Caenorhabditis elegans: one gene and its partner. The protein of the gene in region 1 interacts with the protein of each later gene in a pairwise test. Each region holds a gene or a part of one and is shown on either strand. Other genes may lie near its edges. The genes, in order: npp-1 and puf-8.

The links.
Region 2: the proteins of npp-1 (region 1) and puf-8 interact in a two-hybrid assay, tested with the Caenorhabditis elegans proteins (one study listed by BioGRID).

What each region holds. Positions count from the first base shown.
Region 1 is NC_003282.8:9,856,520-9,862,708, reverse strand, and holds npp-1 (Nucleoporin Nup54 alpha-helical domain-containing protein), read right to left. Parts: upstream 4,222-6,189; 5' UTR 4,218-4,221; coding exon 4,120-4,217; intron 4,072-4,119; coding exon 3,968-4,071; intron 3,888-3,967; coding exon 3,783-3,887; exon of another isoform or gene 3,338-3,782; coding exon of another isoform or gene 3,112-3,337; coding exon 2,842-3,111; intron 2,604-2,841; coding exon 2,422-2,603; intron 2,366-2,421; coding exon 2,186-2,365; intron 2,136-2,185; coding exon 1,742-2,135; intron 1,648-1,741; coding exon 1,469-1,647; intron 1,419-1,468; coding exon 1,221-1,418; intron 1,174-1,220; coding exon 964-1,173; 3' UTR 598-963; downstream 1-597. Other genes in the region: K07F5.14 (NUC153 domain-containing protein), read right to left, coding at 38-146, 261-485; K07F5.12 (Transmembrane protein 144 homolog), read right to left, coding at 4,723-4,931, 4,975-5,225, 5,272-5,543.
Region 2 is NC_003280.10:7,295,553-7,300,377, reverse strand, and holds puf-8 (PUM-HD domain-containing protein), read left to right. Parts: upstream 1-2,130; 5' UTR 2,131-2,148; coding exon 2,149-2,271; intron 2,272-2,404; coding exon 2,405-2,690; intron 2,691-2,736; coding exon 2,737-2,830; intron 2,831-2,876; coding exon 2,877-3,743; intron 3,744-3,787; coding exon 3,788-3,951; intron 3,952-4,000; coding exon 4,001-4,074; 3' UTR 4,075-4,263; downstream 4,264-4,825. Other genes in the region: C30G12.1 (uncharacterized protein), read right to left, coding at 43-179, 386-494, 542-642, 691-807; C30G12.6 (uncharacterized protein), read left to right, coding at 4,363-4,645, 4,693-4,825.

The DNA of each region.
Region 1 (6,189 bases):
TAGTTTTGGTTTAATTTATTTTAATTTTAGACAATACCTTTAGGACCAGAGTGTCTATTTTTGATTTCAAAATCTTCCTCCTCATCTTTATCGTTTTCATCTTCAGAATCGAAGAGTTTTGGACGTTTTGAACTGCGCGAGGTTTTCTGAATTATTCCAACTTAGTTTACGAGTATTGTCTTTACAGCAAACAACTTTATGAAATCGGGCAATTGCTGTTATAAGAGATTTTTATCTCAAAAAATTGAAAAACTTCCAACCTTTTCACCATTCGCGGCTGTTTTTTCTGTTTCTTCATCCTGATCATCCCCATCATCCGAATCTTCAAATACAATGCGTTTTGTCGTTTTTTTGTCAACATTAGCAATGTCAGCAGCAATTTGACGATCTCTTTCTCTCTGATCTTGAATTTTTTGCCTCATCGCGGCTCGACGAGCTTCATCTGAACGTTGACGTCTCTTTTCATCATTGTCTTCATCGTCCATTTTCTGAGATACATTTTGCAATAGTTTTTATGTGATTCTAATTATTTGAAAATCGCAGAAATTCGAACGGGAGACAACCGTTATTTGACAAAACTCAAACAGAAAAATGGAGATCAAATTTATTCTAGATAGAAGTTTGAGATGAATTAATTCAATCTATTAAACAGTGTGTGAAATAAGACAATTAACAATTTGAGGAGGTCAGATCAACAGTTACAACCAAGAATGAGGCATATTTTATGAAAAAATGTACTCGTGATGACAGGCGAACATAGAAAAAAGCGAGCTTTTTTGCTCAATATGTATAAGTTTTAAAAACAATTTTCTGCCACACATCTTAGGTCGAAACAGAAATAACCAGAAACCTGTCAGAGTTTGAAAGAAAATAATGATGATACAAAAGAAATGAGCGAATTTTTAAATTAATACGAGAAAATCTGAAAAAAAGATTTTCAGAAAATCTTTTCTAAAAAATAAATTATCCTTCTAGAGCCCTTCTACAAGCTTCAAGACTTTCGATTTGTTGATGTGTTGACTCGTAAAGGCCAGAGCAAATATTAACAAATTTGGTAAGCACTCTACGAGCATAGTGTTCATCTTCAATTGTCATATCAAACATTTTCCACATTGATTCTTGAAGTTTATCCGGTTTTGATTCCAAAATCTCGTAGAATTTGTCGACATAAAACTGAAATTAATTGTTTTATACAAAATTAAATCATAATTTTTTCTCACCTTCACTTGATTATGACGATTCATTTGGGCAAGAAGTGTATCAGCTTTAGCTTCAATTACATCCTCATCAGTGTCAATTTGACGTGAATATCTTGATACAATCCATTGTGCAAGCATAACACGAACAATTCTGTACGAGAGAGTTTTATGGCGATTACGAATAATCTCCATCTTAACAACTGCATCTGCATGTTCATGCTGAAATATGTATGACATTTGTAAACTTTCATCAAGTTATAACAACTTACATTAGCTTCTTCAACACGATTTCCCAATGCATTAATTGCCTCGTGGAATAGTTTCGACTCGCCAACTTGAGCCTTCTGTCTGTCTCTTAATGCTTCCCATCCACGTACTGGAACAGGAAGAAGTTTGTTTGGAGCTGGGTTTTCTTTGATTGCTTGTCTCCAAATACGCTCATCGATTCCTGAAATGAATGAAATTTGATACAATGCGAGGGAGGAAAACGAAAATCTTTGTTAATAAATGATAAACATAGTAAAAATAACGAGTAAACTAACCATCAGGAACTGTCTCCAAATATCTATCTCTTTGTGCTTTCGACATTCCAACTTTAGGAAGAACCCTTGTTTTATCCACTTGCAACTGCGATTCTAATTGGGTCATTTTTGGAGCATCATTGAGGATTTGAGCAAGTTTAATAGCTCCTGCAACAAATCCGCCTTCTTTGGCGATAATACAGATTTCTGTGCATCCATCAGAAAGTGTTCTCATCGAAGTACCAGGAGCATATCGAACTTCTACATTTGGTCCGCCACCAAGAATAGCTTTGATAATTTCAAGAATTTTGTCACGGCGTTCTTCTGTGTTCAAGTTTGTAATAGGATGACGCAGCACCAAAGTTACAAATCCCTCATCGTCGGTTCGCTCCGAAATACGATTGTATCCGATTCCCTGAAACGTGACACTGTGCAAGTTTTCAGTGATTTATAAAATAAACTTACAACAAATCGTTCAAACAAGTTTCCTTCCATTGAAAACGATAGAAGCTGATTTCCATCTTTGTATGGAGCTTTTCCGACACCCAAACCGGCAGCAACTTGATTCAACTTAGCAACAACTCCATCATTATCATTTCCAAAGAGCTTTGGATCTCCGACAGCTTTCACAAATGGGTGATACTGCTGAAAAAATTTTATTTGGAAAAGCGCTCAGATATTCTTAAGATTCATTTAATTACCTGAATAACTTGTTGCTGCTGAACAACAGGCTGTTGTTGTTGTTGAGTTGCTCCAAGACCACCAAGAGTAGACCCTGAGCTGGAACCAAAAAATCCGCCTGTAGCTGGCTTTGCAGTACTCGATCCAAAAAGCGTTGATCCCGCGGCTGTTCCAGTCGACGCTGCTCCGAATGGGGTCGATCCTGAAAATTGAGCCATCAAAATTATCAAAGTTCGTTAATTAGACAATTATATTCCAGATTCACGATAAAATACTTGAAGCAATGTTTTAAAGCTAATTAGACATATCTAAATTAATTATTTTTAAGATTTAATATTAGGTTTAGTTTTTTTTTTTTTTATTCGGTTTTTGATCTGACCCACCAAGTCTACTCAATTCTAGAAATATGAAAAGCTAATACAAAGTTGATGAATACCAACCTCCAAATGTTGAGTAGGGAGGACGATAAGCTGCTGGAGCCACATTCAAGTTGTTTGCCGGTGATAGAAAAGATGACTGTGGGGCATTAGTTCCTGGTAACGCAGATGGTGTGGCAAAAGATGTTGGAGTATTACCAGAAAGACTACCAGCCCCCAAAGTTCCTGATTTGAATGCTGCCAATCTTGTGGCAACGGGTGATTTGGCAGTTTGTTGTGTGGATCCAATACCGCCGAGACCTCCAGATGTCGTTGATGATGTTCCGAAGAGTCCTGAAGTTCCAGAAGTGGTTCCAGATGCCGGAGAATTTGTGAAAAGCGTGCGGTTAGCGTCATTGGGTGCTCCAAACAAATTGCGACGGGCTGGTGAACTAACATTCTGGGTTGCTGGGGCTGGAGCTTGAGATGCTGATGTCGTAGGTAAATCGGGAAGATTTGGAAGATTCTTCGGCATGTCTTCTGCTTTGATTCCGGTGATGCCCCCACGTCGGGCAAACATTTCTGCAGACGCTCGAGACGAAGAAAACGAGTAGCAAAGAGCAACACGGGTGATAGAAGAACAGGCAAAGAAATCCGCACGACACCGACCACGACAGAGAAAAGTGAAGGTAACGAACACAATGACGACGAGAGAAGTAGAGCGATAGGAGAGAAATAACAATTTTGAATAAAAATTAAGCGCAAATCACAGAAGTAGAACCTTGGTAGGTCAAATAATTTGTCAGATCAAAAAATATATTGAGTCTATTTTCTTTTTTCATTCATTTGTTGCTGGAATTTAGAATATAATTTTTTGGTCCAAAATGTATTACTTCGATCAATATGATTTATCGATTTCCCCTCCTTATCATTGTCTAGCTTTTCTCTCAACGAGACCACACAACAGCTAATAGTATAAACTAAGTAGAAGTGACCGAAAATATCGATAATTTTGAGTAGCTTACCGGTTGTAGAAGCACCGAAAAGACTTGGAGTAGCTGTTGAAGTGGTTGGAGCAGCACCAAACAAAGTTCCAGCAGTTGAAGTGGTAGTAGTTGAAGTGCCTGTCTCTGAAATTTAATATATTTCGGTTTAAAATGCAACTTTGATTACGAAGTAAGTTGTGTAAAAGTAAAAATATCAAACTTACTTCCAAACAATCCTCCAGAAGGAGTAGAGGTATTTGTTGTTCCAAAAAGCGAAGGCGTTGATGAAGCCTGAGCAGTTGAACCGAACAGAGGCTTTGATGGCGTTCTGAAAATAATATTTTTGTATAAAAATAATACTTCTTAAAATACTAACGTGCTTCCAAACAAAGTTCCAGACGATGTTGTTGGAGCATTCGGCGTTGGAAACGTAAATGCCTGTTTTTGGGGAGTAGATGACCCGAAAAGTGACATTTCGCTGAAAACAAACGATTTTTAAGAGAAATGGGGCTTGTGAGAAGAAAAAGAACACATATGTAGTTAATGCGAGAATTCTAGAATGAAAATAATAATATAAATAAGACAATGAGCCGAATTAAATCGATTTTTGGGGACGCTTTGGCGTGCAAATTTTTTCGAATTTTGTCTGTGTACGAAGGGGCGCGTTTGCTGGCACCCTCCTCGAAGATGAAAGAATACATATTCCGAAGAACATTCAACCGTGAAAAGAAATGCATGTTTCAGGTATTCAGTTACTTCGTATTTTGCGAAAATTTGATAACTCATTTTAATCAAGAATTCTTAAATTGAATTTCGATATAAAAGATATCAATAGTAACTTCTTTAGATTTCCAGTTGTTTTGTTGAAAAATTTTTTTTTTAAACCAAACGATCGTTTAAACGATACGAATAATACTTTATTTCAAATATAATACAACATTTTGAGATGAGATCAATAAATCGTTCGGTTCTGTTCTAATTAAATCTGATTAGACAAAGCAATCATAATCACCGAAATGACACCAATAACAGAAGAAATTGCCAACGTAGCATATGATCGGGTTCCTTGAATACTCTTGAATACAAATACATCAAGAGCTCCACTAATTAACGGTGGAAGACGGGCGGTACATGGATAGGCAACAACTTGAGATAATTTATCACTGGAGACAAACCAAAGTGTCATTCCTGAAGAACTAAACATTTGAACAATCGACCACGCATCTCTTACCTGTAGTCCATAAAATACCGTACCCAATCGATGGAATTATCAAATTCCTTTCCACGTAGGCTTTTCGACGCAAAATTACACAATACGCGAAGAAATACAGTGTAGAGAAGAGGAATACTGATGTGTAGAATGGGAAAATATAGTCAAACACTTGGAAACTATCAGTTGGTGGATTCTGTTGCTTCAAATATTCAATCGGTGACATCATCAAACCATGTAGACACGCAAGAACCATTGCCATAAGGATATAACTGAAAATTCGTTTTTTTTTTAAATTTCTAAGCATGCCCAACGAACGGTAATTTCTTTGCCAAACCAGCCATATCAAATGAAGAATCTCTTTCTGAATTGCTGAGTCTTTGCTCAATCTCTTCTTGATGTTCCATTTCCTTGCTGGTCACATCATATTCATTTTCTGGCTCCGTTTCCACGTGTTTCACGAATATCAAAAGAACTCCACTCACGATTGTCAATGCAATTCCAATATAGTTCAACACATCATTTTTCACATTCTGCGGGGCAATCCATTGGAACAGCCCGAATCTTGCCACTCCCCATCCGACAATAATCTTAAAGAAGAGTTTCAGAGTAGTTTCAGAGTAGTAGTAGTAGTTTCAGTATGTTTCAGAGTAAGCTTTCCGCGTAGACACAAAACGCCTGCCTGCATTTTGAGGCAATCTGCGTCTTCCCGCCAAAATTCCGAAAATAACGAGGTAGACGGTATGGGCGCAATTGCTGGAAATTTTGAAAACCAAAAAAATTGTATCACATTTCCAAAACCTCTGATAGTATTCAATTGAAATTCATGCCACAAATAAGTATTCAAGAAATAATTTTAGATTAAAATTATTTTGAAAAACCTTTTTTTTGAGACCCGAAGAACTCGTGGGATGTCCAACTGGGGGGATTACCAACTCGGGGGATTGGCCCCGCCCACAGAACCGTGGCTTGCAATACGCCCATTTCTGCAACTGCCGCACGGTTTTAAAACTGTATTTTTCTCAATAGAGCGAGAATTAACAAGAAAAAATAATTTTAGTTGCAAAAATTCAGTTGCAAAAATGGGCGTATTGCAAGCCACGGTTCTGTGGGCGGGGCCAATCCCCCGAGTTGGTAATCCCCCCAGTTGGACATCCCCCGAGTTCTTCGGGTCTCTTTTTTTTCAACATTTTTTGGTTTTCTTGAAATCAACTGTAATTCTGTCGCAGAAAAATT
Region 2 (4,825 bases), on another chromosome or scaffold:
AAACAAGATTATTTGAAAATGCAGAATATTGGATGAACTTACAATGGTTTCGAGCTTCTTTTGCTACGTTTCCTTTTTGATTCTCCATACATTCGTCTCATTTTAACTAACTGTATTTTCTGTTTCTCAAAGTTTGTTAATGGTCGGATAAGATGATCTCCAACGTAGACGTGATTATTCTAGAAAAAAACCGTATTTGTTAATTGTAGTAATTAAAAAGTGAAGTGACTATTTCATAGATTCTGACAAAAGAATACGGTAATTGGTCTCGAAGCGTCTTTGACCTATCAATTTCCGATCGTGTCGACCCCTGATACCGTAATATTGAAGATTTACATTAAAACCAGATGGTTCTAACTATACACAATTGGAAAAAAAAACTTACTCGAACAATACAAGAATCCAACACCACTTCAATAGAATCATCATACCCTCCACAGAATTTTGGAATTGTAGGAAACGAGGCTTCGAAAGAATCAAATGAAGATGATGAACTGTAAAACGCTTAATTTTCAAAACAATCGAGAATAGAATGACAAACTCTTTGAATGCACTTAGATCATGCTGATACGAACTAAATATGTGTAGTTCGTGATCATTCAACTTTCGCTTGGAAACACCATGAAGGAATAGGGTACTGTCCTGAAAGATTTGGAAGATATTTTCAAATTGTTTTCTACGAATGCTTACAAATACAGCACATGCTGGTCCAACATAACCATATCCAGGTTGATATTCAGGTGGTGTATTTAGAATTAGGGCATTACCAATTAAAGGTAATATAAAATAATGAAGACTTTTAACCATGGCAACCAAAGGGTACACCTAGTCAAAGACTCTATTTGGTCGTGATGAGTTCAAGTTACGAAGCAAGAACAAAGATGGGACTGTGAGGAGACAAGGGGCGTCGCTTCTCGGCACACAAACTATGGTGTTGTTCCCACGGCCGGAAGCTGCTTTACACGAACCTTATGCAATCGGACGCTCTATGTTCGTACACACACACAATACGCTCGTACGATCGGCCAGCCTGCAACCTTTTTCGATGTGAGGCTTTGTTTTCCAAAATTAAATATACACAAACAGACAAAATCTAATTCTCGTTAAAGGTCAGAAAGGGGTTGGAATGGAGATGACAATGAAATAGAGGTGGGAGGAAATTTGATACGATGGCCGGCGAACGGACGGTCGGGAAGAAAAAAAAAAACTAAATTTGTCGAGAATCTTCACGTTGTTTGCTTTTGCATGCTCTACACACTTTGAAGTTTTTGAAACGGTCATTCGACTCCCGAGAATAAAAAGATGAAGATGTATATCCATTTCATTGTAAAGAAAGAATCAAAACGGTCAAGCTATGTTAAGCACAAAGCACATGGAAAATAAATTTAGAATATTCAATACTATGCATAACAACACTCATTCATACACTTTCTGCCAGTTCTGAAGAGTTGAGAGTGAGGAAATATCGACTTTGGAGCAGGTATCTCTGAGAGCACAAGTATATTCAATTGATCTACTTAGCATTTGATCTCCAGAAAAACGGAGATTAATATAAATGCTATGTTTACATTTACTGTTACATCTACACAGGGTCTTCACTAGGTCAGCTTGGGATTCGTATAAAATTAGGTCCCTGAAGAATTAGGTCTCGCCGCGAACTCGAATCACATGGGTTTTCAGAAAATACAGTACCCGACACCATATTGAAACTACATAATCCAAGCCTACTATTTTTTCAAAAAGTCGAAAAAAATGTTTTTTCTACTCTCCTACATGCCACGCCTCCTTTCAGCATATTACCTTTTCGTATATTAAGTTTTTCACCAGTTCTCCTTTCCATGGACTCTCAAGTGCGTGCGGAACCTCAATAATTTAAAGGAACATGCATTTAATGGAGAAATGGGTTTCACCACGAACACCACGACTACGGTATTCGTTCGAAAATTATCCGAATAAATACGGAACTCCTGTTCTAAATAGTGATTTTTGATTGTTTTTCATTGTTTTCTCATTTTAATGTTCTAAATTCTCATGTGCAACTATTTTAATTAATAAAAATAAATAAAGTACGCGTTGCAATTGTTTTTTCAAGCTGAACTATGCCTCCTTGACCTAAAGTAATTATTTTAGGGGTAATCTGCGTTCCTGATGAGTCGTCCGATTTCAATTGGGAATACATGCACATTTGATCCTTCAGCTTCTCCGATTGAATCTCTTGGGAGGAGCATCGGTGCTCAGAAAATAGTGGATAGTGTATGCGGATCTCCGATTGTGAGTCTTGTTTATTGCAATATTGAAATTATTTTTTATTTTGAATAGAAATACAATGTTCATGCAATAAATCACACTGATAGATTTGCCGCAGTGTTTGTCAATTAAATTTTCAATAAAACAATGATTTCAGAGATCGTATGGCCGTCATATTTCTACCAATCCAAAAAATGAACGCCTTCCCGATACACCAGAGTTTCAATTTGCCACTTACATGCATCAAGGAGGAAAAGTAATTGGCCAGAATACATTGCACATGTTCGGAACTCCACCATCGTGTTATTGTGCTCAAGAAAATATTCCAATCAGCTCTAATGTCGGTCATGTCTTGAGTACTATCAATAACAACTACATGAATCATCAATACAATGGTTCTAATATGTTTTCGAATCAAATGACACAAATGCTACAAGCACAAGGTTAGTAAAAACATATTTCGAATATGGAAATTCTCCGTTTTTACAGCATATAATGATTTACAAATGCACCAAGCGCATTCTCAAAGTATTCGTGTACCGGTTCAACCGTCTGCCACAGGCATATTTTCAAATCCCTACAGGTTTTTTTCTAAACTCAAAAATAGTTTAAATATTTGTATATTTCAGGGAACCAACAACCACCGACGATCTTCTAACTAGATATCGTGCAAATCCAGCCATGATGAAGAATTTAAAATTATCAGACATTCGTGGAGCACTGTTGAAGTTTGCCAAAGATCAAGTTGGCTCGAGATTCATTCAACAGGAACTTGCTTCCAGTAAGGACAGATTCGAGAAGGACTCTATATTTGATGAAGTCGTTTCCAATGCTGATGAGCTCGTTGATGATATTTTCGGCAACTACGTAGTGCAGAAATTCTTCGAATATGGCGAAGAAAGGCATTGGGCTCGGCTCGTCGATGCAATAATTGATCGTGTACCAGAATACGCGTTTCAAATGTATGCCTGCCGTGTTCTTCAGAAAGCTTTGGAAAAAATCAATGAGCCACTTCAAATAAAAATTCTTTCTCAAATCCGACACGTCATCCATCGTTGTATGAAAGATCAAAATGGAAACCACGTGGTTCAGAAGGCCATAGAGAAAGTCAGTCCACAGTACGTCCAATTCATTGTCGATACGCTTCTAGAATCCAGCAACACAATTTACGAGATGTCTGTGGATCCCTACGGTTGTCGTGTTGTCCAACGTTGTCTCGAACACTGCAGTCCTTCGCAGACGAAGCCTGTTATCGGCCAAATTCATAAACGTTTCGACGAAATTGCAAATAATCAGTACGGAAACTATGTGGTTCAACACGTCATTGAACATGGAAGTGAAGAGGATAGAATGGTTATTGTTACTCGTGTCTCCAACAATCTATTCGAGTTTGCCACCCACAAGTACTCGTCGAACGTTATCGAAAAATGTTTGGAACAAGGCGCAGTTTATCACAAGTCCATGATCGTAGGAGCTGCGTGTCACCATCAGGAAGGGTATGTATATTCATGAAAAATGTAGATATAATTATTTCATTCAGATCTGTACCGATTGTTGTCCAAATGATGAAAGATCAGTACGCCAACTACGTTGTTCAGAAAATGTTCGATCAGGTTACATCAGAACAGCGCCGTGAACTCATCCTAACTGTTCGTCCACACATTCCCGTTTTGAGACAATTCCCTCATGGAAAGCACATTCTTGGTAAGATATTGCAAAGAATGATTTAATAATATTCAACCTTAATTTGCAGCAAAACTTGAAAAATATTTTCAAAAGCCGGCTGTCATGAGCTATCCATACCAAGATATGCAGGGATCTCACTAGCCCAATCAGTTTTGTACTATTCCCAACACTCAACTCCTCACAAATGTACCTTTAGTTATCTCAAATCCGGTTGTTATACCGGTTCTTTTTGTTATTCCCTGTGCATTTCTGTAGACAGCTTATCGTAATTTGTAATGTTACTCGTTTTGTAATTTTTTCCTAATCTTATTTTAGCATAAAAATTTGAAAAAAAAGTTGTTGAACATTTGTTTTAAAGATGTTTATATATCTCCCTTATATATCTTGAATTACTTGAAAACCGTTTTCGCACAAATCTAAATGTTTGAGATGGAGTCTGGTGATCATCTCGGAAATCTTTTCGATGATATGGTAGAAGAGGATAACGATGAAGATAGTTTTGAAGAACCTGCGTGTGAAGACAGTTTTGATTCTCAAGAAGCTTCATCGAAAGCTAACGAACCTCAAAACGACAGTTTCGATGAGCCTATTCAGAGCTCAGTAAGTAAACAAAGTGATGATGCAAACGGAGAAGATGAAATTAATGAAGAAGTCATACAAGAACAGAAGGAGCTGGATTTAAATGAAGAGGACTTCAATCTTTTGACGATTGGTTTGTTTGTGAGTATATATAAACGTTATAAGACAATCATGTTACAGAAGAAGTTCCGTTGGATGTTCTGACAGCTCGTATAAGAAGAGTGTTCACCGAAGTCACATATAGAGCAGAGCCTGCAGCGATAGCACTTTTTGACGTCGCACACAAAATAATTTTCAAGTCAACTATGTTAGA